2 linked regions of the Cricetulus griseus genome follow. The protein of the gene in region 1 interacts with the protein of each later gene in a pairwise test. Links are inferred from orthologs where the notes say so. Each region holds a gene or a part of one and is shown in the gene's direction. Other genes may lie near its edges.

Region 1 (3,830 bases):
TGCCAGCCTTCCTTCCTTCCTTCCTTCCTTCCTTCCTTCCTTCCTTCCTTCCTTCCTTCCTTCCTTCCTTCCTTCCTTCTTCCCCTCCTTCCCTCCCTCCCTCCCTCCCTCCCTCCCTTCCTTCCTTTTTGTGTATGTGGCAGGGGAGGGGGTGTCTGGGGTCATATGAAGATCAGAGGACAATGTGCAAGAGTCATTTCCTCCCGTCATGTGGTTCTCAGGGATTAAACTCAAGTGGCAGGAGCTTTGTTAGCTGAGACATCTTGCTCACTACCTATTAGTATTTTTAAGTAAACAGCATATCTAGAACCTGACCCTTATATTAAGCAGTACCTCTTACATTTTGAACGTTTCTAACCATAACTCCAAATCTCACAAACTCCATTGACTACAGTTGCTCCATGGTCATGTAAAGGACCAACAGTCAAATTCAGGGTTTAGTGAAGAGATCTTGGGAGAATGAGGACCCTGACTTACCAGTTCTAAGCTAGCATTAGTGTTCTCTGCCCCTCTCTCCCTACTTCTCCTCTTCTAACCCTTCCCTTTTCAGTGCTGAGAATGGAACCTGGGGATTTAAGCATACCAGGCTAACAGTCTACTACTGAGCCCTAGTCCTGGCCCCACATATAACTTTTCAGGGAAAGCAGAGTTTAGAAGCTTAAATGGTGCCTCCTGTTGGAGCCAATCAGCTTAAACAACAAAGCCCACCACTGAGAGATAGGAAACAAGTAACATTAATAGATTTCATCTCTGCTCTCTCCAGCGATGGAGGGACAAACACTACCTGTGGATGTGCTTACCATGGGAAAACATTGTAAAAATGACCATCCCTTTTCTTCCCACACAGGATGGTGCGACCAAGGCTAACCATTTATGTCTGTCAGGAATCGGTGCAGCTGAGGGAACAGCAACAGCAGCAGCAGCAGCCTCCACAACAGAAGCAGGAAGATGGAGATTCAAATGGTACTTTCTTCGGTAGGTTGTTCTGGGCAGACTAGGACAGGTAGGAAGAAAGGAGAAGAGAAGACTCATGGGCGGGTGTGATGGGAGTTCAGACCAGTTCAGCATTGAGTTCTACAAGTAATGGCAATTGCTCACATTTATTCAGCTCTTAACTTATGCCATGTGCTATTACCAATACTTTATATATACTTGAATTTTTAAATAGTGCTGTAGATTGTCTGCTCTCCAGTCTTTAGAACAGGGAAAGGACTAGGTTTGTTGAGTAGCTTTCCCCAGTTCACATTGAAAAACTGTATCTGAGCAGGCCCTGAAGCCAGGCTGTGTGATTGTGAGTCTACAGCATGAGCTGATCACCTGCAGATGCAGACAGCCTCTGAATGACTGCTGGACCTTCTTTTGCAGTGTACCATGCTATCTATCTAGAAGAACTGACTGCTGTTGAATTAACAGAAAAAATTGCCCAGCTTTTCAGTATTTCTCCTCATCAGATCAGCCAGATTTACAAGCAAGGGCCAACAGGAATCCATGTGCTCATCAGTGATGAGGTCAGTTTCTCAGTCCTGTTGTATTTCGTGTGCCCTGGTGTTTAGGGCACATGTCAGGTCCAAGAGTACTCTGCCAAGGTTGGACTCTGTTTCCTACAAAGAGGTTTAACTTTTTAATTTTAGCAAATTTTGCTATTTTTGCCTGAGGGACCCTGAACTTGTGGGTTCACTTGACCCTCCTGCTTCAGCATCCTGGGTATCTGGAACTATTGGCATGAACTACTGCATCTGGCTTAGATCTTACTGTTTACTTACCTCCTGATTTTTAAAACTTATGTATAAAGTGCTGTAGCTCCAGCACAAAGAGAAGTGGAAGCAGGAAAATCATGAATTCGAATTCACCTCTGGCTGTGTAGTAAGTTCAAGGCCCACCTGGCCTAGGCAAAAAAAAAAAAAAAAAAAAAAAAAAAAAAAAAAAAAAAAAAAAACGGTTGAAGGAGAGGTGGCTTAGCAGTTATGAGTGCTTTCTTCACAATCAAGAGAACCAAAGTTCAGATCCCAGCACCATGGTTTTTTGTTTTGTTTTAAAGATGGGTGTGATCCCCCATGTGCCTGTAACCTCAGCACAGGAGGATCACTGGAGCTTGTACTCTGCCAGCCCAGCTGATGGGGCTAGATCAGGGAATGAGCTCCAGGTTCAGTGACATACCTGCTTTAAATAAAAACAAGGTGGACAGTGAAGAGAACACCTGGTATTTGAGTTTGGCCTCTGTGAGTAATTGTATACTCATATATGTGTGCATATACACCACATATACCACACATACACCTGATACACATACACACAAAACTAAATGTATCTTTTGTATATTTTAGGTCGATTTTTAAAAGTTTCAAAAATTGTAAAAGTTTTCTCAATTGAGTAAAAACAGTCACTCCTAGACACACAACGTTTTAAAATGAGGTAGTGGATAGGGAGACGCTCAGTTGGTGACGAGCTTGCTGCACAGATGTAAGGACCTGAACTAGGATCCCCACCACCCAGTTAGACAGCCAGGCATGGCAGTGTGTGCCTGTAATTCCGCACTAAGGAGGCAGAGAGAAACTGTTTCAAAAAAATGAAAAGCAATTTAGGAAGACAGCAGATGTTAACCACTGGCTTCTACATGTGTGTGCTCACGTACTGCCCCCCCCCCCCATGGTTAGTCTGGGAGAGAAGATGCTTCTTATCATTCCAACATCTGGAAGGTAGAGGCAGGAGTGTTAGGAGTTCAGTGTCATCCCTGGCCAATTCAGTGCCAACCTGAGGGAGAGGAAGAGAGAGGTTGATAGTACATTCTTTTTAACCCAAATACAAGTCTTTGTTTTTTTCCCAGCACTGGAACTGAAATCAAAATTACAATAGTGCTTCAGAGAGATGGCTTAGCAGTTAAGAGCACTGGCTGCTCTTTCAGAGGACCCAAGTCCCAGCACCCACATGGTGGCTCACACTGTCTGTAACTCCAATTCCAGGGATTCTGACACCCTTTTCTGAAACCTATGGGCACCAGGCAGGCACATGATGCATACATTACATGGCAGGCAAAGCATTCATACACATAAAATAAATAAATTTACTTTTTACAAATTATGTAATACAATTATTCATTTTAAAAAGTATGCATTTAAAAAAGTGTGTACACATACACGGGCACGAGCACACACACACACACACGCACGCACGCACGCACGCACGCACGCACATGCAGGTGTGTCCCCTTTCATGCATATGCTTGTGGAGACCAGAGTTTGAATTTAGGTGTTTTCCTCAGCTACTCTCCACCTTAATTTTTAGGTTTTAGACAGGGTCTAAATTGAATTTGAAGCTTACCAGTTCCACAACGCTGGCCATTGAGCCAAGGCTGGGTTACTGGCACATGCCACTGCACTCAGCTTTTTATGTGACTGCTAGGAATCTGAACTCAGGTCCTCACTCACAGTGCACAGCAAGCACTTTACCACTGACTACTTAGCTATCACTCCTGTCCTTTGCCTGTCTTTATGGGCTTTACATTTTTGAGACAGGGTCTTTGTAGTCAACCCCCTATATAGCCAAAAATGACCTTAAACTTCTGATCCTCCTACCTCTGCTACCCAAGTGCTGGAAATATAAGTGTGTGCTAGCCTGGCTTCCACAGACTTGTTTGTTTGTTTGCTTGTTTTTTAAAGTGTGTGTGTGTGTGTGTGTGTGTGTGTGTGTGTGTGTGTGTGTGTCTGTGTGTCTGTGTGTCTGTGTGTCTGTGTGTCTGTGCGCGCGCACGCGCGCGCGCACATGGAGGTCAGAAGAGGGTGCCAGATCTTCTGGAGCTGCTGCTACAGGTGACTGGGAGCTGCCTGACAGTG
Region 2 (3,394 bases), about 260 Mb from region 1:
AACACAAAACCCTTAATGGATTTTCTGAAACCCCCAATAATTCCTTATTCTGAAGGTCAAAGTGGTTTGGCATTTTCTTTCACAGTGTGAAGACCTATTGTGTTTTTATTCAAAATAAGTTTGTTTTATGCTGAGTTCAGAAAAGAACTTTGAGTAAGCATATTGTAAAGTGAGAGATGGAATATTTTTAAACTCTACCCGAGTGTCAAAATTATATAGAAATAAAACTAGAAGGAAATAGTGAGGATAAAAGCAGAAAATAGTAAAATGACAGATAAATACAAAACACTATTTTATCAATTAATGAAAATTTTATTCTATTGAATAAACAGCAGCAAAAAAGAATGATTTGGGCAGCTTTGGTAAAGGAAAACTGGCATAAATACCAAACACTATTAGAGGGACTAGCAAGATGGCTCAGCAGGTAAAGGTGATTGCTTGAACCGCTGAAGCTGACCTAATGGAAAGAAAGAACTTCCTCCTGCAGGTTGTCCAGTGACCTCCACAGTGCATTCACACACATATGCCTACAGAGAAATGCATACGTTAATTCATTAGTAAGTGTAAGAAACTGTATTCAAAGCTTAGAAAATATAGTATAAATGAGGAAGAAAATTTTTGAATCAATACAACAGTGTATCAATAAATTTGAAAAGTCAGATAAAATGAGTGACATTCAAGAAAACACAAATTATAAAAATGAACCAAAAGAAAAACCAAATAGACCAAAACTCTAAGAATAATTTGAAAAGACAGTGAACATATATCTATTAAACAGAATTCCATGCCCAGTCTAATTTATAAGAAAATTTATTCAGCCTTTAAGAAACAATCAAGTGAGGTAGATGGCTCAACAGATTTGCCATGAACAAAACAAAAAAAACAAAATAATTATGAAAATCAATATATAAAATAATTATACCAAATCACTTACAATAGCATATTGATAAAGTCATATTTTTGAACAAGTAGAGTTCATTCTAGATGTGGATGGTTTAGTGTAAGAACATCTTTGAGTAGAAGCATTGTATTATGGGATTAAATATGAAAATTCCCATCATCAGCTTCTCCAACTGAAGTTGTTCTACTGTAATCAAGAAAAAGAACAATTAACATCGTAATTAAAATTTTAACCATTACACAATTAAAGAACAAAATAAAAAGCTAAGTACTGGGAAAGCAAAAACAAAATTATCACCATGTATTGATGATATGTTAACTGTGTTTACCTGGAAAACTTTAAAAAATCAACTGAAAAATGAAATTGATACAAAGTCTGCTAAAACTGGTTGCACAAAAAATTACCATACAAATATCTGTTCATTTTCTTTATAAAATCTGAAAAATTCATGGGAATAAATAAGAGTAAATGCAATTGTGGTCTCATGAATGCCGTTGCCCCTAGCACAGGGTAGAGCATTATCCAAAGATATTTAAATGTTTCCTAATGAATATTAAGTTCTTTTGATAAATACAAGTTACAGAAAAGTTTTTAGGATTTTCTTCTTATCCACCAAAATAAAAGGAAGATTTAATGTCCAAAACTTCCATATAGTATGTTTACATCCTTTTTATTGTTCATATTCAAAAACATACCTGTCATAAAGCAAGTATAGTAGAAATTTTTAATGCACCTAATATATCTAGGTAATATATAAGGGGGAATACATTGATGCATTTTATAGCATGACATATACTGCTTTTGTTCCCAGGGGAAACGAGCCCCATTCACAAATTTTGACCCATCCTGTCTCCTTCCTTCATCCCTGGATTACTGGACTTACTTTGGCTCTCTGACTCACCCTCCTCTTCATGAGAGTGTCACCTGGTTCATCTGCAAGGAGAGCATCAGTGTCAGCCCCGAACAGGTACCAACTGAAATGGATTTGCTTTTAGTGAAGGATCCCAAGTTTTCAAAAATAAAAAACAAAAGTCCATGCAATAACTGTTCCTACTGTGTGCATAAATAAATGCATGAGGTTCCAAATTTCTGCTGTTCTTCATAAAGAAAAGCCAACACTTGTTAGGTGGTTTCTTCCAATGTCAGGAACAGTGAACTTTTCCTTGGAACTTCTATCGTGCCCTCACTGGGCCTTACTGAACAGTTGGTCAAATAGTTTCGGATTTTCTAGCTAAAGTCCTAAAATATGTCACAAAGTACCTTCTTGCTTATTGTTTCTAAAGATGTTGCTGATGGCTGAAGGAACAGCTACTTTCCTGAGATGTCTTGTGTTTCTCACAATATTGTACCCCATGTTAATTGATGTTTTGTACACCCAACCCAACTATGGGCCCTTTGCATGGATTAAAGCATTTAATCTTAACAACAGCCACCCAAAGGAGATGCTATATGAAATTAAGGGGTGCTGGCATGACATATCACTTATACAATCTCCCCAGCTAACAAAGAGAAAGCTGGTATTCTTACAGAGAGCCAGCTATGCCTCATTTAGGCAAAATACCTTTGCAGAGGCAGAAAAATGAGTGCAACCACTTCCCGCCCACTAAGAAAATCGCCACTATCCTCAACTGCTTTCTAAGCAACAGAGCATTAAGTTCTCTGGAAACAAAGTGCTTTCTGGGACTTTAACAGCTTTTCATCCTTTAAATGTCTCTCCCCACAGCTGGCACAGCTCCGAAGTGTTCTATCAAATGCAGAGGGAGAGGCGGCTGTTCCTATTCTGACCAACCACCGTCCAACCCAGCCCCTGAAGGGCAGAACAGTGACAGCCTCATTTTGAGGCCCAGCAAGGAGGAGTCCTGGATCAGTACTCGGCCCCTCTGCAGACATCACCCAGTATCGTGATCACTTTTTAGAAACAAAATTATTTCAGTGCTAGTAAGAGAGCAAACCTGCAAATTTAATCCGCAGAACTAAAAAAAAAAAGTTTTAATTCCTGATGCTTATTGCAAAGAATCTATAAACTTGCCCATTATAATCTTTAAACATGTGCTTGTGCTTAAATCATCTTCTTTTGTGGAATGTTTCATAAGATAATTATAATTAAGGGATTTGTTCTCTTTCTCCTCTCTCCATTTTAATTGAACCAATAAAATGACTTTATCTCTTTCTTTTTGTCTATTGTGCATTTTATTAAAACCATTAGGTTTCTCCTCCATTCACAGTCATAAATCTTAAATGACTTACTTGAGTTTTTTTTTTTTTTTTTTTTTTTTTTTTTTTTTTTTTGGCCTGAAATGTAAGCTAAGAGCAGCCAGGCATGAAACTCTGACTCATCTATTTGACTTAAGATGGCCTCCAGATTTAGGGTTTTTATGTTAGCCCAACACTGGCTTCATCTGTGTGAATAATGTATCCATCCCATGTATTCTGGCATCCCATTCTTTCTCCATTACCAAGGCCATTGCTTTCCTGCCATTATAACTGATCAGT

Evidence for each region.
Region 2: the proteins of Tfcp2 (region 1) and Ca1 interact in binary tests that used the Homo sapiens proteins (3 or more experiments, as listed by UniProt). The two-hybrid records come from large-scale screens. The link is inferred for Cricetulus griseus from reciprocal best matches to the Homo sapiens genes TFCP2 and CA1.

What each region holds. Positions count from the first base shown.
Region 1 is NC_048595.1:396,972,663-396,976,492, reverse strand, and holds part of Tfcp2 (alpha-globin transcription factor CP2), read left to right. Parts: intron 1-847; coding exon 848-975; intron 976-1,365; coding exon 1,366-1,508; intron 1,509-3,830.
Region 2 is NC_048595.1:134,344,172-134,347,565, forward strand, and holds the end of Ca1 (carbonic anhydrase 1), read left to right. Parts: intron 1-1,712; coding exon 1,713-1,868; intron 1,869-2,624; coding exon 2,625-2,741; downstream 2,742-3,394. UniProt on the Homo sapiens protein: Catalyzes the reversible hydration of carbon dioxide. Can hydrate cyanamide to urea.